3 linked regions of the Diceros bicornis minor genome follow. The main gene of each other region encodes a partner of the protein of the gene in region 3 in a complex. Links are inferred from orthologs where the notes say so. Each region holds a gene or a part of one and is shown on either strand. Other genes may lie near its edges.

Region 1 (8,500 bases), on a different chromosome or scaffold from region 3:
ATCGAGATTCTTGTCAAATGTTGGGAGATCAGAGGAAGGCATTTTTGGAGTGTGGATCATCAAAGCTCTTAATGCACTGATTCTTTAGACTAAGTTAACTAACAAGACACAGGCTGTTTTCCAGGATCTGCAGTTATATTTAGAAAGACCTAGAGGGGAACCAGAATGACCCTGAAATTGCTCCCTGCTCTCCTAAGAAGAAAGGGTTACTCTGCCCTGAGAAAGAATTTCTCAACAAGTTGAAGGAAAGATTTCATTAAAAGACAGTGCCCTATTTTACAAGATTCCTTCTGTGAGGAGACTGGGAACATTCAGGCCAGATGTACCCCTTCCTTTCTAGCCTGTAGAGGAACTGGATAATGATATATGATGGATAGGGGTCAGTCAGGTCACAATGCTTGAGGTCTGTAAATCTTTTAAATGGACGGACATAGCACTTCAAAGTCCAGGATTCATTATAAAAATTGATAACCATGTAGTAAACCAACTGCTAAAATCAGATACAGAACATCTTTGTGTTAACCTGTCGTTCATTTCAGTTGGATGATTTTTTTCTGGATTTAGTTCTGTTCAAGGATGACCCAAGGTCATTAAGGAATTTTGATATTATCAGCACAAAATGAGATTACTAATACCACTAATAACAGTAACAGTAAAACACAGCCTCATATATTGTTGTTGGTAGTGGTGGTGAGCACTGCATGGAACTGGAAACTGATGAGGCTATCCGATTATTATCTCCACCTCAAAGATGAGGAAAGAGATGGAGAGGGTAGACATTTTGCCCAATCTCACATAGGTATTACAGGGCAGAGCTAAGGTCGTGCCCATTTACTGACCACAGGGAAACACCATGTTGTAAGGAAGCATGACCACTGGTGTTTCGGTCTCTATGGCAGAAGACCCACGGTTCTAAATTGAAAACTGGACTAGCTAATACCCTTGAGATTGTCCAGTTTCAAAGCTATTTGCCTGCAGTTCTACAACTCAGAGTCCCCAACTAAACTACAGACGCCTGTACAAAGTTAAGGTAAAAGCAAGCTTGAATAAGCGAGAATGTAGAAAAGCAGATAAATGAATACCTTGAAATCCCTCTCTCCGCGCTCTGAAGTTGCACTCAACTGTTGAAATAAGAGAAAGACCTCGTGTTTTCTGGAAAGGAAACACAAGAGGAAACAATTTCAAAATTCTGAACTGAAGTAACACTGCAATAACTAAGGGCAAAATGATTACTTTTTCTTATTAAAATTTTGAGTAATAAAGAAAGCAGCTCACAATTATTTAATTAACCTTTAGTACTTTAATACTATAAAAAAAGAATGTTGAAAAACATAAGTTAAAACTTGCTCTTAAAACAATCACCTACCTATACATTATCCCAAATTTTATATATGGAGGAAAGCAAAAATGATGGCATTAATCACATGTGTTCTCAATGATTAATAATTATGCCCGTGCTTTGTTTTTTACTCATTGCTTCATTCCACCTCTTTCTCCCAGACACTGACGGTAACTATGGGTTAGCACCACACACCTCAAACATGGACCCTTTGAGTTGTGCAAGGTACCCTCGATTGCATACCTCAAGAAGATGACAGCCTTGCCAGAACAAAGATGGCTGGAACAAAACCGTACAGAATTGTGTAATAACTGCTATAATAGACTTAGCCATATTATTTTATGTCTTTACCTTGAAACATGCTATATTTTTGTTAGCATGGTTTTCTATGCTTAAGATAAAACTGTATCACTTACAAAGATCACTTCCTCCGAGAGGATGTGTGATTCAAGTTTGAGGAATGTAATCTCAAATCTAAAACTCTGTTTTTGTAGATTGTGTATCTAAGAAGGCATCTTAAAATATGCTAAGTGGAAGTAAAAAGCGAAAGAATGATCCAACAACTAGACTCAATGTTCTCAGAAAAATTATCCACTGAGGTAAACCAATGCAATTTTTTTTCTTTTTTGGTAAAGATTAAAGGGGAAAAGAAAGTTATTTCTTGGAAAGGAATGAAAAACAAAGCAATGCTAGAAAGACCAAAGAGAAAGAGTAAAGTTGACAACAAGCAGGATTGTGGTCCCTCCATGACCTGCCATGTCAGACTCTCCAGTGGCCAGCAAGATGAGAGCTCCCCAACCCCCATCCCACCTCATGAGGCCCCTGCCCACATGCTCGAAGAGCCTCCTGGATGTGAGCTCCAAGAGAAAAGTGCAGTAGAAGGCGAAGGAGAGTTACATGTCAGGGAAGGAGGAGAGGGGTAAAGACCACATTTGCCAAGAGTCCACTTTCAACAAAGAGAGGCAATGGAAATTCTCTTCTCCTTGCCTTTCACTGGGAAATCCCCCATTCTGAACCACTAAGCATTTCAGCTCAGCAACACTGTGGGTTCTGGAAGGTTTCCACAGCAGCCTGAAAACCCAGCATTTATAAAACCAGGAAGATATATTTCAAGCTCTAAACTACTGCGTCAGAGTCAAGTGTTTGGGATTAGCACCTGTTCAAAAGTGGAGATGTCACTATTTTGAGATGCTGCAAAATCTGTCTAATAAATGCTTACTGATAAACCTCTGTGCTGCACAAAAGCAAAGGTGGTAAGGCCCAGTTCAGGAGACCAACTGACCAATATATATGATATAGAGAGACATAAATAATAACAGAAGTATGCAGAGTGACTACAGTACAGAAAGAGCGTGAGAGCCCCATACACACAGCTCTCTGCAGCTCTTGAGATAAAACCCAAGCCACTTGGCATGGTTTGACAAGCTCCCCGTCATGGCGCCTGCTTATCCTGGCAGCATCATATCTCATCATCTGTCCCATCATCGTCATCTCCCATCCGGCGTTCTCCATGCCTCTGCCACGTTGTTTGTTTGCTTGTTTTTTTTTAAGAGGCTAAACAACTAATATAGAAATGAGTATCTCATAAAGCAGCTGTTTCTAAGCTGGAAACCGTCTGTAGTGTGCTTATTAAGAGTAAGTGGATCCTGGTACCTGGTAGGTAGGTCCTCCAACCTTTCCCAACCTGGGTCCTCAGCCTGTCACATCCTTCTCAATCTTCTCCTTCTTTTACAGACTGGAAGAAGAAATAAACTGTAAACACCAGTGTAAAGTATAGAGCATTAGCATTTTGGGTTGCATAGTTCTTTGTTTTGAGGGACTAGCATTCCCCCCCCAGCTGTGACAACCCAAAATGTCTCCAGATTTTGACAAATGTCCCCTAAAGGGCAAACTCACCCTCGGTTGAGAATCACTGGTCTAAAATGAATGATGACTTATTAAAACATAATAATATTTATAATCTAACTTCCAGAATATGCAAAAAGACAGCAATCTGGATGGGGACCATCCAAAAAGGCACAGATGGGGGAGAAGAGAGGAGGGAAGGCACACGTATTGAGCACCTGCTGTATTCTTGGCCCTGTGTGAGGTCTCATCTAATACTCAGACCTCATGTACCTCCAGAATCAGAATCCTCATTTTTTGTTTTTTTTTTGAGGAAGATTGGTCCTGAGCTAACATCTGTTGCCAAGCTTCCTCCTTTTTTTCCCTTTTTTCTCCCCAAAGCCCCAGTAGATAGTTGTATGTCATAGTCGTACATCCTCTAGTGCTTCTATGTGGGACACTGCCACAGCACAGCTTGACGAGCCGTGCATAGGTCCACACCCAGGATCTGAACCGGTGAACCCCAGGCCGCTGAAGCAGAACACGCGAACCCAACCGCCACACCACTGGGCTGGCCCTCCAGAATCCTCATTTTAGCAGATGACTCACGGGCAAACTCAATTTGAGGAAGAACTGGCTTACATTTGAGCCAAGTTGGCTCAACCTCCACCCTACCAGAAGCCGCAGGCACCCTATAAAAGGTGCCATTGAATAGGTTTCTGAGGTTAGGGACTTCCCTGGGGCTCTGCTTCCTATCCCCCACTTTAAACGGCTCATTTTGGCTTCTTGGTTTCCATCCAGCTGCCTCACGCCCTTGCTCTGTCCGCCTTGCAGCCTTACGATATAGCTAGCAGGCTTCCGATTCCATTTACTAAAGAATGCTGCCCCTCCGAGCCCCTCGCTCGTATTCTCACCCTGTCTGTAGGCAAACGGCATCCCTTAGCTTTCTAAGAGCGAGTTCCAGATAGCCCCCTCCGCTCTCGTTGTCTTCGAGAGGGCAACCAGATACTTAATTCCCTAGATCCAGCCTGCATAATTCCACGTGCTCACATAGATCTATTACCAGGCACTAACGCAAAATATATAGTATTGTCATTGTGGCTTTTAAAGGTTTAGCTTCCTGCAATAATAACTACTCACGGTTTTATATCTTCTGTAATATGAGCAGACTGCTTTCACTCTTGATAGTTAATTTCATAAAACAAGGAAAACAACAGCTGTATCCAACATGACAGAATGAAAGATGAGGTTGAGCCTAATTAATGCAGGCTTTGCTTCAATAACAGCTTTATTCTCAATAAACAGAGTGTGACATTTTCATTAACTCAGATACAAACTCCCGTACAAATACTCGCACATGAAATACTATAAAAATACCAAATTTAGACTCTCTCGCTCTTCTCTTTCAAGACCCAAATGATTTCAGATGCTGGCACTTGTAATAGTTTTATTATGATTACTAATAATTACCAGTTATGAATCTTGCTATTTGCAGGCCGTGTGCTACAAATTCCATACATCCTCGTCTCATGTAATGCTCATGAGAAATCCAAGGGACCTGGACTATTGTTATGCTGGTTCTACAGATGGGGAAACTGAGGCTTGGAAAGGTTAAGTAGCTCAGCCAGTGAGTGGTGGAGCCAAGTTTCAAACCCAAGCGTACTTGACTCCAAGCAGCACCTCATTCACACACATCATTTTTGATAACACACAGGTGTCCCCTAAGAGCGTGCCCATGTATAGTTTTCTCTGTATCCTTGCATCCCTAAGCATATACACAGCCACTACTATTATTAATATTAATATTATATGTGCCTACTTGAATCAAGAAGGTATAAACCAATGGTCTCTAATCCCATAATTGGGAAACATTTGATTCAGACACCCTTGGTTAGACGCAAATATTATCCAGATCTGTGATAATTCTTTTAGCTGTTTCTCACCTAGAATAACTTAATAAGCTAAGCCAGTTTGGCATCACTCTGTTAAACTGGGATATGGTTATAACAAACCTGCTCATCACCATGGGTACCTGAATGCAATCTCTGGTGGGTGGGTGGCCTGGCCTCCAAGAACAGAATCTGTTCTGCCGGCAAGAGAAAATGCTAGCAATGTCCACTCATCTGATCCCTTCCTCCACCAAGGCAGCTGAGCCCTTGGGTCAGTTCAGCAAGTGAACAGAGGAAAGAGAAACAAATTCAAAACCTCCTGTGTGAGTTAAGTACCATGAGACTTCGGACACACCAGTTTACTGCCCACAATTCAGAGATAACAATGTCTGGCCCTGCCTCCTCTGGTGCCCAAGGATAGCATGTGGATGACTTGATGGGCCCAAGGCCCTTGGGTAGGAAGAGCTGAGGTTAATGAACCTATGTCCACATTCACAGCGTTGAGCAACATAAAATCAGGCCAACACACCTGCACATGGCAATTAGAGTTAGGTATGTGGGGCTGATGAAATATTTCTTTTGAAGTTAGTGAGGCCAAAATAAACAAACAACAACAATAACAACAACAAAAGAAGCCTCAGAAACTGATCTTCCCATTCCCCACCCCCATCTGTAAAATAGAAACAGAAACCTCTTGTTTTTAAGTAAAAATTGCAGGGCAATCTTTTCGGTTTCCCAGATTTTAAAAGGAACAAAAGCTGTAAGAAAATAAATATTCTAAGGCCCACGCTAAATTCATAAGCTTTTTACTTTAATATGTTCTGCATCTGGATGAATATTTATCACTCACTATTTATTACTGCCTCAATATTTATTACTGTCTCTATGCCTATTTCTCTCTCTGTCTTAGGTTGTCAAGTCTGATAAGGCAGGGACCAAATCTATTTAGTCCTTTTTGTAAAGCATGTGAAACTGTTATGCATAATTAGGCACTTAAAGGGTTTTTGATGAAGATGATTATGAAGAATCAGAATAGTTAATACCATGGTGGCATGTTTCCTGGAACCTTCCTGTCTTTCTGAAATATCAGATGAGCAGACTCGCATAGAATGGTAGAGCTAATGGAAGCTTGGGCCTAGAGATCATGAAGAGCTGGCTAAACCTGTGGTCTGTGGCCGGGCAGCATCAGCGTCATCCAGAAGTTTGTTAGAAAGGCAAATCTCGGGCACCACCCAGACCTACTCAATCAGAATCTGCAGGTGAACAGGATGCCCAGGCGATCTGTAGGCACATCAAGGTCTGAGAAGCACAGACTAGAGAACCATCTAGTTCAAGGACTTCAGAAGAACTGTGGCTTGTACCTTCTGACCTCAAATTTCCACCTCCTCTTGCTCCTTCAGGAATATTCCTCCTTAAATTATTCTTCGGTGGGTCTCCAGAATTAAACTGCAAATCAGTAACAATCGCCAGCTTGCCAAGAACACCGGTCGTTTCTGTTTGCCAGAGAGGCCTTTATTCTTTCAACATCTTGAATACACACACAAGATGCTGGAAATAGAAATCCAGAAACCCATCTTCCAGTAGCGGGCTTGCTCACTACACACAGCCAAAGAGGAGAGACCACACCGTGATGGTGTGTGGAACCGGACACCACGACTCTTGGCTGAGACCTGGATCCCACATTTTGCACATTTCAGGCCCAGTGACGCAGCCCAGGCTGCCCGTCACCTTTCATTTCTATTTCCTACTTTCACTAAATGCTCCTAAGTCCTGACTCACACACGGCTCTGCCCTGGAGTTCTAGAGTCCCACCAGATGAACATAATTCAAACCTTTAAGGATATGCATTCCAAGAAGAAGAAAAAAACAGAACTATTTGAAAACTCTTAAAAACGTCTTTGAATTGCTGTTGATATGCTGGTTTGTCACTGCATCTTTTAAACCAGTTCCCTCCACGACTTCCCTGCCCAGCCATATTATAGACTTCCTATACAGATTAGGAGTCATCGATTTGTAATTAGAAGAATTTTATTTGGGTTTTTCCCCTAGACTTCAGCCACAAAATGTAGTTAGTAAAGAACGTTCAATGATATTCAAATTCCATCACTGTTGTGTCACTTGTATTTTCCAAAAGGCTGAAAAGGACTGATGTGCATCTTAATCAGGTCTGCATATGGCAGACATCTGTCTTGACTCATATTTGAATACCAGCTGGTACCCTCCCAAGATATGGTCACTTTTCTGGAAAAAATATTAATTTCTCCAGGTATGAAAAGATTGGCTATACTTGTTCCCACAACCGTACGTTTTTTCCTGCACATTTAGAAATCAGAAAGGAATTTGTTGGACATTAAAAGAAAAGCACTGCAATGAAGAAAGGATGTTTTAAGAACACAAAAGATTAATTGAGGCAATAATTCTAGGTTTGGCGTAAAAGTTTGAAAGAATGTTGAAAATTTTGCTGAAAGCACATTGTTTAGATTAGCTAGAGACAAAGACTGACCTATGTTGTGGGTACCACTTCCTAAACAAACCTTGAGAGAGCACCGTATCAGAGAGAGCCAGAAGGGCACAGACTTACTCTAGAGCACTCTCCTCTGCCTCAAGGCAACATCCGTTATAAGAGAACGTCAGCCCATCTTTTGGGGGTACAAAGTACCTCAGAAAAGATCAGAAAAGATGAAGAAAAAAAAGGACGAGGAGAAGATACTGCTGAACGGCACATCCCAGGAAGCCTACCATGAATTGGCTGAAGTATCAGGTTTTAGGAAAACTTCACTGCATCTTTGGGGTTGTGTTAAATCGCCTATTAAGCACTTAGAACAGGGCCTACCTGGCGTATAGTAAGTGGAAAGTAAAATCTGCCAGCACTGGATTCACATTACCAAATTCTCAAAAAGCAGCAACTGAATGAAATTATTTAGCTGCTGCCCTTTAGATGAGGCATGAACTCCCTGCTTGCCACAATCCTTACCACTCCCTAAGGTCTCCCAGATACTACAGCCAAGCCTGGCTGCTTTTAATCATTGCATGGCCCTGTTTTTGTTCTTAAAGTAGAGTTAAAGGAAAGGGATGTAGTTTTACCCACATCTCTATCAAACTGTTGACCTTCTGAGAGGGCTCTGAGATCCTCTGGCTCATGTCACTCACTTATGGTACCCACCCGAGTTTGTGACTCTTGCCCTGGATATGCTACCAAGCTGTTGTCTCTGCTGGGACCATGTTCTCCATCCCCACCTGCCCAATTAGAATCCATTTTTCAAGACTTATGCAGTCCTTCTGAACTTGTCAGTCAGAATCTATTGCCTCATATATGTTATGTGTACTAACATTTTAGAACTAGTTATCTGGACTACAGGTCATTTTAGGACAATGGTTGAATCTTCTGATCTTTCTCCTCCTAATTGTAAGGTCTTCCATTGCTCACGACATCCAGCTACAGCTTCTC
Region 2 (8,004 bases), on a different chromosome or scaffold from region 3:
CCATCACCACACACATGTGCCGAATTATCCCTTTCACTCTCCTCCCTCCCCTCTTCCCCTCTTCCCCTCTGGTAATAAGTTTGATTATATTTTAAACAAGATGCCAAGCCTCACCAAGAGTCCAGACTCGCCATAAAAAAAAAAAAAAGGTAAATTACGTCAATTGCAAATTATCAGTTGAACTTTGCCTCTTGAGGACTGTGTTTTTGAAACCAAAAGCAGAGTATGATTCTTTGTGTGGTATGTGGGAAGCTGACCATGATGTTCACAGCAGGTGAAATGAAGAGATTGATGAGGTCTCAGAATGCCGTAGTGACAAGAAGCAGATTGGAAGAGGGGTAGGGGTCTTCCCTGCTGTGGATGATGTGAAAACAAGAACAAAGCAAACAAGATTTGTTAGAGGTGTTTTATACACCTCTGTGTCTATTTATAAAAGGAGAAACAGTCTATCTTTATCTATCTCTATCTATCTAAACTCTATCTTTATCTCCGTCTATTTTGGAGATAAAGGAGGTCATTTTTTTCTGGCCATTGCAGCCCTTTGGGGCTGGACTCTGTGCCTCAGTAGGGGCACCATTCCTTTCATAACAATATCCCTGCTGCTTGGGCAGCAGCACTCAGGGAAGTACTCTTTGTCAGGTTCCTGGACCTCCCTGTAGGGAAGGCCCATCTGCTCCTGGCATAGTGAAAGTGCCTAGGCAGAGACAAACATAGACTGTGCAGGCAAGAGACCTGGAGTAATTGATGTAGTGAGTAACCAAGTCAGAGGGGATCTCTAACCAAAGCCTAACCACATTATACAGCATACTTTATCACAATAGACTTATTTTAGGTATGCTCAAGACCATGTTAAGCACTGTGGGTTATACAAATGCATAGAAGACACTATCATTACCTTTGATAAACTTAAAACTACAGGAGGCATTTTATGTGTTTTCTTTTGAATAAACTCCCCCTTTAAATAAACTTATGGGAGACAAGGAACACGTGAAGAAACTAAGAACACTTCTATAGCTGAATATAAAGATTTATATTGAAAGGATTCAGACTAAGAGAAGGTCATGGTGAGATGGCATTAGGGGCAGGATTTTTGAAGAAGAGAGTAACTAGGTTTTATGGCTTTATTTTCATCTTGGTGAAAATTAGGGGGAAAAGTGAGAAATAACAAAGGAAGGGGCAGTAGAATGAACAAGATTGTCTTTGGATGATGTGGTTGGATAGGTTGGGTGGGGACACTTGATGGGAAGGGCTTCGTGACAAGTTGAGGAATCTGGACTTGTTCCCATAGATTATCAGTAAGAACTTTGGTTCCTTAGCATTAAAGTGGAGTTTTAAGAACTTTCATCCGGGCTTGGTTAATAGGAGATACTAGAATAGAAGATATATAGATAGGAAGATAACTAAGAGCTTATTGCTACAGGAATACAGATGTGAGAATAGGAATGGTGGTTAACACGGGAATGCAAAAGACAGGTTGAATCTAAAAGACATTGAGGAGAACAGACCAATAGGCCCTGGTGGCCAAGAGGATGCTTACAAAGGACTGAGTGTTTCACAGATAATATATATAGCCCATATCAAATCAACGACCCTGGGATGGAGGGAAAGGCAGGAATAGCGAAACTAAAGCAAAGATTGATAAGTGGCTTCCCCAGGTAAAACATGCCTCCTCATAGAGAGAGAAGGGTGCTCTGAGAAACCTGAGTGCCTTTCCTATCGACTAGTTTATCTTGTCCTAATAATTTCCCCTGACATTCTCTTTGGTTAAAGTTTTTTGTAGTCTAATTCCCGACCTCCATGACAGTGATGTTTCCCCTTAAACTGGCACACTCTCTTCTTGTTGGAGCAGGTGACAGTGTGATCGGCACTCCTCTCTGTTGTCATTTTCCTTCTGAGCAAACACCAGAGCCACATGAGGCAGCAGTAAGATGTTCCTTCCTACTCCTCTTCAGGTGCTCATTCAATTTTACTTTCCACTAGAACTCACCCTTAATGGTTCTGACAAAGTGTTTATGAGTCTTCTACTGCATGGAATTGTTGTGTTCACTTAGGGTTCATTCCAGACTGGTTTAAATGTTTCAGAGTAAATTCTTAGGTATTTGCCAATCTTTGCTGCATGACTTGTTTCCCCTCCCCAGCTCTTGATCCTCCCACAAGATACAAATGAGTCAACAGAATCTTCATCAAAAACCATTATGCTTCTCTTGCCCTCCACTATCTGTAGAAGGAAGTGTGAAAAATTAAGTGGTAGTTTAGATTTGTTAAAAATAAAACTGAAGTTTTTTGTCTTCTCCTTTAGTTTGTTTTTTGCTTGCTTGAGTGGTCTGCTCAGGAAATGCCCTTTTAGCTAAGTGGGTTTTTGAGGTTTGGTTATTTCACGATGTTTCTATATCTTTTGGTTTTAGAGTAGAACAGACTCCTAACAATTGCTGCTTGCTTTTAAAAAAGATCTGCAGCTCTGCTAAGATACTATTTTCAGATCCTTATATTTTGGGTAAGTGGACTATGGAAGGCATCTAAGCAAGTTTTTCTTTCTTATCTCATATCTATCTCCATCTTATCCCTCCCTAAGAAGAGAATAAAGTTAGAGAGAGATTGTTCTGAAAGTGAGCTTGAGAAAAATAGATTTAAATTTTATTTTATTAGGTATCTTTTTGTGTATCAATTAGTAAAGTTCTAGTTTTGATGGAAGTGAAGACATTCTAAGGGGACAGAGAGATTATAAAACTGTGTATCTCTTATTTGTCCAAATACAGAAAATCATTTTCCTTTTAGGGTGATGCTTTGCTACTCTGCAAATAAGTTAGTTTGGAATGTTTTTATTTTTATCAGTAAATATGTCTATATTTTTAGTTCTGAGATGCTTTATTAACTGGTTAGGAGTGCTTTTCACCATATTCTGTTTTGTTCACTATTGTATACCCAGCCCCTAACATAGTGCTTAGCCTTTAGTCCTACTAAATTTGTCAAACAAATTAATGGACTTTTGTGTTTTTTTCTAACTAAAAAAATGGTATAATAATTTTGAAAGAAGAATTTTAAAAAGCATCCTTAATCCCAGCACTTACACAATTGATTCTTTTTTGCATCTTTTAGTCTTCATTTAACTATGTACATACTTTTACATGGTTTTGGTTATTGGGAACTTGAAATTTTGTACTTTTAAAATATTTCCCATATTTTATATGTTTTAAAATAGCCAAATTAAACCTTGCATTATTTAAAGCAACAAGAAATTTTCCTTTTATGCTAGATGGGGATAATTTGAGAAATACTATCTTATTCTCAACAAATATTGTTGAAGAATTATGGTTCATTTTAATTTATTATGTGGCTTGGGATTGAAATTCTTTATTGGCTTCACATTGCCTATAAGCAAGATACGTTAATGACCTTTCCTTTCCTGTTGTAAGGCTCAATAAGGTGGATGCAGCCTAATACTGTTCAGAATCATGATTTCCTTAAAGGGAATTTGAATAATGTTGCAAAACAGAAAGGATTGCTAATATCTTAAATAGAGGAAGTTCTAACAGCACATTTCCCAGTTTTCTTCAGGATATTTCTGACTAATTTTAACATATTATTTATTGAACTTCTGTCCTTAAACAGAGATGATATGCTGATTTTTGGTTGTTCTCATACTGAATGAGACACTCTTGGGTAGGTTTGTACCCGTTGAGGAGAGAATTTATACAAGCTGAGATGTGGAAGCTTTTTCTAGAACAGGCTGCCTGTCAGACAGGGCCAAAATGCCACAGGTATAGCGTGGCTTCCTGAAACAATGGCCTTTTCCAAGGCAGGTTGCAAAAAGTAGAAATGTCTTCTCAAGAAATAGTTCTTCAGGCTTTCTGCCCTGAAAGTTATACCATTGTCAGCAAGGTGGTTGATTTTACTCTTTTTCTGTTCCTTCATTGTTTACTAGATTACCTAAGGGGATATTGTGCCAACTTCCTGATCAGGTGCTCCTCATGGGGGCCACTGTGCTCCTGGATCCTATATAGACCAATACTCTGTCTTTATATCCAGGACCCAGGTGAAGCTCAAAAAGTACTGGAGGGTGGGGGAGGTCCTGAAATCAATAAGACTTCCCTTAACGGAGATCAGCACTTCCCCAGCCCTGGGAGAGACAAAGACTGTCAGGAGCAGCTGACTTTGCTTCATCCAAAAGAGGTTTGAGTTCTATATGGCAAACTTAAAAGTTCTGAATAAAAATGCCTTCTCTGATGAACAGAAGTTTGCCATTGATCACACTGACAAGAAACTTTTGAGAGAACAGTACAGGTAGAAGACATCTTAACTCCAAACAGTGTCTATCTCCCCTTCTGGGCCTAACTCAACTTTGCAGAGTTCATTTGGGACAAGAAGAAACAGAAGGTGTCAGCAGGGCCTTTGTGCTCATTGGGGAAATGGGGTGAAGCAGAACCCACACATGAGACCTGTAATTCTTCCTTTTCTCTAGGAAGCAAGAAAAAAGGTGAATTTTGCTTAAGGGTGATGGAGTGGAACAGTCTCAGAGCTAAGCAGACCACATGCTATGTTCTGGTTAGCCTCTTGTTTGTTAAAAACTTGAATTGTAACCAGGCTCCTTCCTTGAAAAGGAAGGCGCTAGGGCCCTGGAGTGAGATGATGGCTTTGTTGTGTGACCACAGAGGCTGGTTACGTACTAATTTCCTCTAGGGCTTGTGATGAAGTCAGTAAACCACAGCCTTCAACATGTTCTGTTCAGGCGGCAGCAGTTGCTTCTCGGTGGTGTCTCGGCCATGACACACATTTGACATGCCTTCCCTTAACTCACTCATAGACTGTCTCTCTTGCCCTGCAGCATGGACCAAAGAGAAATTCTGCAGAAGTTCCTGGATGAGGCCCAAAACAAGAAAAGTAACAAAGCGGAGTTTGCCAATGAATTTCTGGTGAGTCCTACGTGTGACACTCTCAGGGTAGTTACACAGACTATTTAACTGACTATGATGGTCCAACTCTCCTAGACCAAATTGCTCTTGGGAATAAAGTAAATATTAGACCTTGCAGAAGAAGGGAGGAAGGCAACCTAAAAGTTTGACTTTTCTGAGTGGTTTGTGTGCATCTTAGAAATTCTCTCCAAAATACTGTTTTTAGTATTTTGTTTGCTAGTTCTTAGAGTTTGACTAGGAATCTTACAGAAGACATATATAACTCCAGGTGTATAAATACTAACGCTAACTGAACATTGGAGTTCTCAGGTGTCTGAGTTGTGGTTTATGCCTCAAATAACTAGTTTTAATTAATATTAAGAGGAAAGAGACCAAGATTAACTTTTCATGGAACATTATTTTTTAGCCTCCCTGTGGGATTCCATTTGGATGACAAAGGCTCTTGAAGAGCACCAAAACTGCCTGCTGCCACATTTCTTTATCTTTTCTTTCCTAGAGGAAAAAAATAGAACATGTATTTTTACAATAGAGTTTTCTTAGCCTTGTTTTGCTTGGAAAGGTGGAATGGCTAGGATGGGGTATAGAGACAAGTGAGGGACATGGAGAGAAACCTAAGCACAAGGTAGCGTAAGGTCAACTAGATTTGATTACCCAGAGGATCACTGAGTCTCCTCTGAGGGAACTGTGGTGATTGATGCATGGCAGCTGGGTAGGCCTCATTCATCCTGTAACCGAGCACATCAGATGACGTCGGATATCTGATGGGACCTATTATGTATTTTGGAATACTCTCAGCTGGTGTTTCAAAGCTATAGGAACTTTAAACCTTCTTCATCTGTGAAGTGGGAAAAATAAGGGAATTGAAGTATAAAACCTGAAATTAAATCATGATTCTGTCATCAACCAAATTATCAACCATTTGACATGTTCCTTAATCTCCCCACATCTGTTTTCTAACTTCTAAAATGGGGATAATAATTCATGTCCTATCTATCCTCACAGGATTGTTGTGATGATTAAATATCAATATTAATAATAATTAAATGTGGTCATCCATTCAGTAATATCTATTGAGCACCTACTATGTACAAAGTTCAGTTCTAGGCACTGAGGATACAGCAGTGAACAAAACAAAAACCTTTGCCCTCATGAAGCTAACATTCTGGTACCAGATAGTAGATGTGAAAACATTCTGTAAAGTCTCGAGTGACTAGATATTATGATTGAGTGATTACATGTTATGATAGAAGCCCCTATGCCAGCTCAAGTTGGATAGTATCGTGGTGTCATGAAAAATGTGCTCTCATTGCCACTGGCCAGGCAGTCTGAGTCCCTCTGAGTAGATTTATCATGGAGGGAGGTAAGGGGGAAGTCCTGGCCTATGTGTCTGTTCAGACATGTGCCTGCCCCTGGACTATAATTTCTGAGCCAAATTCACCCAACACATAGAAGTAAAAAGTGACCTGAGGGGGTAATGCCAGCCTCTGTTTTATTTGGTTGTGTTTTTAAAAATTATGTAGACAACATCCCTAATACTTTACCTTTTCTTAGCTCAGTCATTATAATCTCTCACCAAATTATGGCAGCCACATAACATTCTGTTTTCTCTGCCTCTGGCCTTGCCCCACCTTCAATAAATTTTCTGTTCAACACCCAAGTGATCTTTTAACAATACAAATCTGGTCACTTTTTTCCCTGCTTAAAAACCTTTTCTAGTTTGTATTTTTTTCAGCTATTTAAAATTGTGAACTGTAATACACATTTAGAAAAGTACATAAAACATGTTAAGTATATAAAGCAACCACCACCCAGGTCAAGGAATTGAACAACCTGTCAGACCCCAGAAGACCTCTATGTATTCCTTCCCCCTTAGGTCCCTCACCCACACTCCCACCTCCACCCTGTCCTGCCCTGCCCAAGGAATAATCACTATCCTGACTTTTATATTAATCATTTCCTTGCTTTTCTAGCTCCTGATTTTAAGGACCTTGTTTTTGAGTGGTGATTAAGTGGAACTTCACTGTTCACTGACTCATGTCCTCCAGCGGAAAAACAGAGTTTTGCTCTCAGCCCCACCTAAAGGTTCAGCTGAGATACGAGAGAGAGTGGCTTTGGGGGTACTGGGGAGTGGTGAAGGGGCGTAGGTTGTGGCTTGGACAAGGTAAATACTACCATTAAATTGGAGGGCTTTCCATCTAGTCATGGAATGACCCACATCCCACTTTAAGCCTTTTAATATATTCTCCCAGGATTTGATGTTTCTGAGGTTTGACACTGAGCCACTGCTAGCCTAAATGGGGGTGCCTTTGTGAAAATTATCGAAAGTTGTCTCTACTTCCAGGTAGATACTCTGTGCACCCTGCCCCGCACTGGGTCCATGGCTTAGATTTTTTTTTTTTTAATTTTTTGTTTATTGCAGTAACATTGGTTTATAACATTGTATAAATTTCAGGTGTACATCATTATACTTCTATTTCTGCATAGATTACATCATGTTCGCCACTCAAATACTAATTACAACCCATCACCACACACATGTACCGAATTATCCCTTTCACCCTTCTCCCTACCCCCTTCCCCTCTGGTAACCACCAATCCAATCTCTGTCTCTACGTGTTTGTTTATTGTTGTTATTATCTACTACTTAATGAAGGAAATCATACGGTATTTGACCTTCTCCCTCTGACTTATTTCACTTTGCATAATACCCGAAATGTCCATCCATGTTGTCACAAATGCCTGGATTTCATCGTTTCTTATGGCTGAGTAGTATTCCATTGTGTATATATACCACAGCTTCTTTATCCATTCGTCCCTTGATGGGCACTTAGGTTGCTTCCAAGTCTTGGCTATTGTGAATAACGCTGCAATGAACACAGGGGTGCATGTATCTTTACGCATTGGTGTTTTCAAGTTCTTGGGATAAATACCCAACAGTGGAATAGCTGGATCATATGGTAGTTCTATTCTTGATTTTTTGAGGAATCTCCATACCGTTTTCCATAGTGGCTGCACCAGTTTGCACTCCCACCAGCGGTGTATGAGAGTTCCCTTCTCTCCACATCCTCTCCAACACATGTTGTTTCCTGTCTTG
Region 3 (7,519 bases):
CTTCCCTTGGCAGCCAATCACGTGGTGACGGGCAGCGGGGAGGGCAGGGAGGTAGGACAGGCACTGGCTAGAGCAGTCCAGAGCCGCAGGGGCAGAGGGCTTCAGAAGAGCTCCTCGAGCAGAGACCAGCCCTCAGCCTGGTCAGCGGTCAGCCCACCTTGGCCCAGGTGTCTTCCCCACATGTTGAGGTAGCCTTCGGTGGGCACTCCGTCACCAACACCAGCCCCTCCTCACATAGTGCCTACTGGAGGCCAGAGGCTGTGCTCGGCACATTCTAGGACCTCGGTTGGTTAGTTCACACTGTGCGCACACTCCCCTCTGAAGCAGGATCACCGTCCCCGCTGTGTACACAAAGGAACTCGGGCTCAGAGACTGACTTGTCCAAGGTCCCTCCACTCTGGCCTCAATGGCACAGCTGGGCCTGGAACCCACGTCGGCTGGGTGCCAAGTTGCCCACTCTCCCCGGCACCCCTGGCTGCTTTGGGGCCTGTAGTAACAACCACCACAACAGCACGACAGATGGGAAGCAACAGTGCACACGCTTAGTAAGAGGGTTGGGGTGAGGCTGCTGTGGCAGAGCTATTTGGAATATTCTGTAGCTTTTTAGAGGCAAAGTGACACAGACCGTGTAGCAACATGAGAAAATGCCCAGAGACACAGTATTAGATGAAAAAAGGTGTCATGGCATGCACATTCAAATGACAACAGCGACGAGGGAAAAAAAAATTAGGAGAGGCTGGCAGGGAACTCCGAGATGCTAACAGTCACGGCGCCGGTGGGGAAATAGCAGTTTTTTGTGTTGTTTTCTAAATTTCCTGTAGTGCTGTTTTGTTACTTTCTAAATTAAGAAAACTAATACATACGTAGTGTTCTCATAAGGAGCTCAGATTCGCTTCCCTGGGACCTGCCTGACCCCCAGCTCTGGCCCTGGTGTCTGGCATGTCTTCTAGTCTTCTACCACGGGACGGCCTTTCCAAGACGAGACAGGACATCCTCTCAGACACGTGAGAGTCTCTCCCTACCTTCTCTTTACAAGACCAAACATCTCTGTTCTTTGGAGACTGTGTCAAGGCTTCAAAACTCCTCAAAAGATGGAGCCCAGAACTGGACCCGGGCCATCCTGTCCAATCAGACCACCTGGCGGCTTGCTGGGGCAGCCACGTCACACTGGATCCTGGGCCTCAGCCCCCGCCTCTACTCTGGGCTGCTCCGCGGTGGCTCAACCTCTTGGGGACCAGTGCCCCCTGCAGTGGTGCTGGAGACTGTCTCCTGGTCTTTTCTTGCCCCCGACCCAACACGGAGAGAAGACGAGCCACTTCTGGGAGGGAGGCAGGCACCAAGCTCACCAAATAAAAAACACATCCCGGCATAAGTGCTAGCCTGAAGCCAGACCCCTTTCTACAAAGGACCGGAGACACTGGCTGCACCGTACAGCTCACAGTTGGTATAAAAGCGCCCAACCATGGCAGGCCTCAGCCCCAGCCCCTTAGGCTGGAAAGGAAGTTAGGGCTGGGTGTGGAGCTGGGTGAGGGGAACCTCACAGGCCCACATCTGGGTCCCGTCCACTGTGCATGTCAGGGCAACCAGAAAAAACTCTAAATCAAGGGCAGAGGCCTAAGCAGGACAAAACTGCCAGGGGCCCCAAGGGGCCCCAGACACGGTTCAGCATCCTCCAGGGAACCCTCATCCTTCCAAAAGCAAGAGGATCCTGCCACACTCCCAATCGCCCTTCTGGTGCGTTCCCTCTGTTCCTGCTGCGGCCCCACCAACAAAGACATTGGGACCCCCCAGGGCGTTGAGAACTTGGAACAGGCGCCGTGGGTGTCCCCACTCTGACAATGCTCCTATGCCAAGGCTGTAGGGTGCTCCCTGTGGAAACAGGGCTCTCACCTTCCCCCTCCAGATCCCATTCACGTTCTGACCTTGGCTGCTCCTATACCAGCTGAGCCAAAAGTGTGGGAAGGCTGGGTCGGGACTGACCACCAGGCTGTTTCAGCTCAGCACCAGGGCTACACCACACGAGTGCCCCCATATCCCCTGCCAGTGGGACCCAGCCTCAGGCACCAGGGGAAATCCCACAAGCAGTGCCGATGTTGCCTGAGCCCAGACCCAGGCAGAGCTGGGGCCGGAAGCCCTTTCCCTCCTCTCCAGCCCTCTGCAGGGGAGCACGTGCTCACCCCACAAGGTCCCTTGGGCCAGGCTGGGGCCCTGTGTCCCCGGTGGGTGAGGGTGCCTCCCTAGTTTCCCTCCACCCACAGCAGTCCAACTCTGCAGAGAAGGGGATGAAAGGAGGGACGGCCTAACTCTGCCAGAGGCCTGGGGTAGCAACTTCCCCCTTTGAGTGTCAGTTCCCTGATCTACAAAATGAGAGGAGGTGAACGCTTAGTTAAGCTCCAAGGATCTGGTGGCTGGGCACGCCCCTTCCTGACACCTGGCCTGGGCCCTGAGGAGGCTGGGAGAATGGGCTGACCAGGCTGCCAGGAGTTGGGGGCATGGTCCTAATGCCCAGTGTCACCTCCACCCAGGACAGAGGCCTTGCCCAGTTTCCCCACCCAAGGGTCAGAGGTCCCTTGGCTTAGGCCTGGTCTTCAGGGAGGCCCAGAGTGAGAGGCTCACCCTCTGGCAGGTTCAAGGGAGGTGGCTGGGCCCTGGGCTTTCTGAAGCCGGCAGGGCCTCGGTGGAGGAATGAAGGAGGGGTCAGAACCAGGCAGGCCGAAGAACCTGTGGGGGGCCCTGGACAGCGAATGGCAAACTGTCCGTTTTCCAGGGCCCTGGCCCATGCTGACCCCCTCCCTCCAAGCTCCAGCCAGGCCCCACACGGGGGTAAGGTGAAGACAGTCAAGTGGTGGCCTGAGACAAGTCCGTGGGGCTCGCAGGGCAGTACCTCCCTCGTGCGCTCCCCTCCCAGTCGGGCTGACAGTGACTCCCGGGAGAATTCGAACGCGGGAAGGAGGGGGGCAAGGGAGTGGGGGATGGGAGTGGAAGCGACGGCAGCTGCAACAGCGGCAACAGAAGCGGGACGTGCGACCTCCACCCTCCTTGCCCCGGGAAGCACTCACCTCTCTCGGGGCACTGCGGTCCGGGCCACCTCGCTGCGGGCAGCATCAGCGGCCTGCGGGACAGTCCATGCAGCCAGGGGGGAGGGGCGCAAGGGTCCCCAGGGGGTGCGGTACAAAGAGGTATGGGTGCGAACAAGGGGGAGGAGGGACGGCCAGACAGAGGCAGGGGGATGGCCGCGCGGCCCGGGTCGGGGAGGGAAGAAAGGCGGGGGAAGGGGGGCGGGAGGGAGTCGGGGGAGGAAACAATGTAGCCGGCGCGGCCCCGGCAGAGTTCCGCTTCCCAGCGCCGCCACCGAGGTTCGATTTTGGACCGTCGCGCCGACTGCCGGGGGCTGCCCCGGACGCTGGATCGCGGGCCGCGGGGCTCCCCGCGCTCCACGCCCCGGAGGCTCCGGCGGCCACAGGCTGGCTGGGGCGGGAGGGACGGCCGCCCGGGGGACGGCCCCGACGGCGGCGCGGCCGGGCGGTCGCCCGCTCGGACCCCACCCCGGCAGGACTCCCGGGCGGAGTGTGGGGTGGGGCGGGAGCGGGAGGGCGGCGGCGGTCTCGGCGGCGGCGGCCAAGCTCGGTTCGCCCGGGGCTCCGCTCGGAGGAAGCTCGCAGGCCTGGCGAGAGGAAGCGCGGCCCGGATCCTCCGCCCGCGGCAGCGCGCCTGCGCGAGGGGGCCTGCCCGGTGCGCGGCGGGGCGTGGGCCGGCTGGGCGGCGCCCCCTGCCGGGCGCCGGGGGCACGGCGGGGGGTGTGTCCGCGCCCACGCCCTGCCCCCACCTGCCTGCCCGTGTTGACGGCTCCCGGAGGTCCCTCGCAGAGCCTGCCTTGGAGCACCCTCTGAGCCTTCTCTGGGCGCAGCCTCCCCGAGGAAGAAGCGATTGAGGCCAGACGTGGTCCCCTCTCTTCGGGTCTGTTGGTGGAGAGTGGGCCTCACTCGCAGCAGTAAGCATTCATTCATTCACAAACATTTCCTGGCGCTGACGACCTCACAGGCCCTGTTCTGGAGTCTACTGGTAGGACCACTTCATTACTGTCAAGGAACTCTCAGTAGGAGAACTGACAGGCCAACAGACAAGCGCAAAAAAACAATTGATAGAAGTGGAGAGTTGGGGTACAATGTCCACAGGAAACAGGAAAGAGGGGAGGGCTAATGGGAGACTTCAGAGAGCTAGGACCCAGGCAGAGGTAACAGCATGGACAAAGGCAGGGAGAGGTGAGAGAGCTTGACGGCTCTGGGAGCTGTGGGTAGCCCAGTATGGCTGCAGTTTGCAGTGTGGGTCCAGGAGAGTGGTGGGGGGTAGGGTCCCTGCAAGCTGCAGGGAGGAGAGAGCTCCAAAGAGCCTTGTAGGACTTTCATGGACTTTGTTTTCAGCTTGGAGGCAATGAGGAAGTTGTCAGTAGCTGTGTGACCTTGGCAAAGTGACTTAACCTCTCTGTGCTTTGGTTTCCCCATTTGGTAAAATGAGGGGAAAAATAGCACCAATGTCTTAAGGTTTTGTGGGGAGGAAATGAGTTAATACATTTGACGTGCTTAGTGTGCAGCAGCTGGCATGCGGTCAGCCCTCAGTTAAGTATTGCCTGTTATTATATATCACTGTTGACGGGGAGCAAAGAGGTGATCTGCTCTGAGCTACAGGAGCAGACGGTGTGCGTGTGTGTGGTGGGGGGCACACAGTGGGGTGGGCAGTGGTGCGGGGGAGACCAGAGACTCCAGTGTAGGTAGGAGGCATTAGGGCACTTCCTAGGGACTTCCTGGGCCCTGATAGAAGGGTCGAGGTTGGGTGGGCAGAGAGGAAGGGCATTCTCAGTGGGGGAAGTGAGGTGTACTGGCAAAGTCTTGAAGTTCAAAATAAGTGAGGGGCTGAGGGAGTGAGGGCCCTGTGGGAGAGTGAGCTGGGGAGACAATGTGGCTGCAGATTACAAAGAGCCTCGAATGGAGGAGCAGCAGTTGGGTGTGCCTCCCCAGACAAGCCGCTGGTTGGTCCTCTTACCCAATGCACACCTGGGCCAGCTTCCCAGGAAGAGGCCAGCCCTTCAAGGAGGAAGGTAGTGGTCACAGCCCTGCCCTTTGAGGAGACATTCAGTAAGTCTCGGAGATAGCTATGGTGTAATGGAAAAAAGCGTGGATTTGGGGTTCAAATCTCAAAGTGAAATCTCAGCTGGGCCACTAACTAGCTGTGTGACCTTGGCTAGTTACTTAAGGTCTCTGAGCTCAGTTTCCTCTTCTGTAAGATCAGACTCAAAATATACCAGTCTTATGAGAGATGATGCATATTCAGCAAGATAACGGCCTGGGGTGAGGGGGGTGGGGAGGGTGCTCAGCTCAGTTGGTTTCCCTTTCTTTCCTCTGAGGTCAAGATGGAATGATAAAGTGGGGCCCAGATGGGGCCACCCCTCAGCGTAAAGGAAAGCACTTCAGCAGTTCTGCAATGGCTTCTGGAAGGGAGAAGTTGATATCTCCCCTCCCACAACTGCATCAGCTGGCAAAATGGGAAAGGACTGTGGGGATTTGGGGAAAAGACTCAGATCCCCGTCCCAGTTTTGTCGGCAACCCATCTTCCTTTACCCCTGAACACACTTGACTTTTCCCTGGGTTTCTTGTGGCCCAGAGTGTGGACTTTGGAGCCAAATGGACTTGCATTTGAATCCTGGCTCCACCTCTTCACAGCAGAGTGAAATAACATTGTTTAACTTCCCTGAACCCCAGGCACAAAGGACACGTCGCTGGAGGGTCCTGCCCCACAGAGCTGTCCTCTAGTGAAAGAGCCCGTTAACTTCCAACCTCACCATTCATTCGTTCATTCATTCGCTCACTCATAAGTGCTTACTGATCACCTACTAAGTGTAGGCACCGTTCTGGATGCTGGAGATGAAGACGTGAGCAAGACCACCGTGGTTCTTGCCCAATAGGATAAATAAGTCAGCAGGCCAGTCAGACACCTGGTATGAAGGCAATGAATATTTGATGGAGGAGAGAGGACTGGGGGAGACCGGCACAGAGGGCTCAGTGGCCTGAGGATCAGCCAGAAGCCAAGGTGACGAGACCAGCAAGCGAGTGAGAGTGGTATAAGAGGACGGGACCAGATCCTGTAGGGCCTTGTGGGCAAGGATTCTATTACACAAGTTCGGACTGTATTATATGAGCAATGGGGAGGCATTGAAGGATTTCAAGCAGGGGAGTGACATGATTGAGGGAAGGTCAAGAGACCACTGAGGAGGCTTCGCATAGTCCAGGCAGGGCTAATGGGCATGGGCCCCGGGACAAAGGAGAGCCACCTGACAGCTCTCGGTGAGGGGCTGTTGGTGGGGAGTGAGGCCACAGGAGAAGGCAGGCCTGATTCTCAGGTGTGGCTGGAGCAGGTGGGAAACAGTGTGCTCTCTGCTGAGGTAGGGAGGATTTGGGAGAGGGGCAGGCTGGGGGTAACGCTCAAGAGCTGGATTTTGGACAAACTGAGTTGAAGACCCCTTGAGACATGGAGATGGCAAGTTGGCGTTTGGAGCCACATTTTACAGACAAGGCCCCTGAGGCTCCAACAAGAACTTTTCTAGAGTCCACCTCCAGGACTGGGGTTGAGCTCTGAGGACCTCCAAAGCCTGGAGCACGAAACAGCCTCCTCACTCAGCGCGCTTCAGGGTAGGAAATCATCAGAGAAGCGTCCTCGGGTTTTAGGATTGGGGAGGAAATTTAGGAGGAGCCCCCTTCCAGCCAGGTAGGCTCAAGCGCTAGCTTTCCCAGGCTGGGCTACTTATCGCTGGCTGGTGGGGCCCACCCTGGGGGAATGGAGAAAAGAGAGAGGCTGGAGACCGCTGGATATGGGGAACGGAGCACAGACTTCTGGCTGCGTTTTGATGATGCGGGCCCACTGGGCTAGCTCGATGCAAAGTGAGGTTGGTTGGCGGTGGCCAGAAGTCCAGAGGTTAAGCACCTTAATGGGTGGACTGTGCTCTGTTCCCAGGGTCCCCTGGGAAGGGAAGGGGCTCTCCTCACTCTGCCCTGCCTCTTCCCCTCCCCCAGCCTCTTTGCTCTGAGATGACAGTTTAGAGAAGCTGGTGTGAAATAGTTTGAAACTCAGACCTTCTGGGCGGTCCCCCAGGGCAGAAAACAGGAAGCCAAGATTAAAGGCAGATTTCCAGCAAAGTCCCCTTCACTTCCTGCAGCGCAGGTGCTCAGGGCGAGCTGACTGTGAGCAGCTTCCTTTGCTGACAGCACCTCTGGGCACCCCGTGCCCTCTGGGAGCTGTTCTTTGACCTTGTCATCACCATCCCCACCAGGGAGCTCCTGCTAGGCCCTTGGGGAATGAGCTTCCTCCAGAAAGAGGCCATGGAAGGGGAAGGAATGGTCACTGCGAAAGAGGCACCAACAGGAAACAGCACATGGGGACACCTGGGAGGCAGTGAGACCAAGCAAAAAGGGCATGGGCTTTGGGGTCACTCAGGCCTGGTGTGAATGCCACTTCCTTGCTGCAGGGT

The links.
Region 1: the proteins of CSK (region 3) and PAG1 are in contact, whole or in part, in an NMR structure (PDB 2RSY), measured with the Rattus norvegicus proteins. The link is inferred for Diceros bicornis minor from reciprocal best matches to the Homo sapiens genes CSK and PAG1. Residues at the interface, in NP_001025210.1 of Rattus norvegicus: Thr88, Arg89, Glu93, Arg107, Ser109, Thr110, Asn111, Tyr112, Thr117, Cys122, Glu123, Lys125, Val126, Glu127, His128, Tyr129, Arg130, Ile140, Asp141, Tyr156, Asp161, Gly162; in NP_071589.1 of Rattus norvegicus: Phe291, Ser292, Leu294, Tyr296, Lys297, Ser298, Arg299, Glu300, Glu301, Leu305, Ile310, Met313, Tyr314, Ser315, Ser316, Val317, Asn318, Lys319.
Region 2: the proteins of CSK (region 3) and PTPN22 are in contact, whole or in part, in an NMR structure (PDB 1JEG), measured with the Mus musculus proteins. The link is inferred for Diceros bicornis minor from reciprocal best matches to the Homo sapiens genes CSK and PTPN22. Residues at the interface, in NP_001291690.1 of Mus musculus: Phe20, Thr23, Gln26, Ala40, Val41, Thr42, Lys43, Asp44, Asn46, Trp47, Ile59, Pro61, Asn63, Tyr64; in NP_033005.1 of Mus musculus: Pro614, Pro615, Leu616, Pro617, Glu618, Arg619, Thr620, Glu622, Ser623, Phe624, Ile625, Val626, Val627.

What each region holds. Positions count from the first base shown.
Region 1 is NC_080772.1:31,709,114-31,717,613, forward strand, and holds the start of PAG1 (phosphoprotein associated with glycosphingolipid-enriched microdomains 1), read right to left. Parts: upstream 3,078-8,500; 5' UTR 2,993-3,077; intron 1,153-2,992; 5' UTR 1,083-1,152; intron 1-1,082. UniProt on the Homo sapiens protein: Negatively regulates TCR (T-cell antigen receptor)-mediated signaling in T-cells and FCER1 (high affinity immunoglobulin epsilon receptor)-mediated signaling in mast cells.
Region 2 is NC_080743.1:46,479,670-46,487,673, reverse strand, and holds the start of PTPN22 (tyrosine-protein phosphatase non-receptor type 22), read left to right. Parts: upstream 1-4,714; 5' UTR 4,715-4,823; coding exon 4,824-4,910; intron 4,911-8,004. UniProt on the Homo sapiens protein: Acts as a negative regulator of T-cell receptor (TCR) signaling by direct dephosphorylation of the Src family kinases LCK and FYN, ITAMs of the TCRz/CD3 complex, as well as ZAP70, VAV, VCP and other key signaling molecules.
Region 3 is NC_080744.1:67,716,698-67,724,216, reverse strand, and holds the start of CSK (tyrosine-protein kinase CSK), read right to left. Parts: upstream 3,530-7,519; 5' UTR 3,060-3,529; intron 1-3,059. UniProt on the Homo sapiens protein: Non-receptor tyrosine-protein kinase that plays an important role in the regulation of cell growth, differentiation, migration and immune response.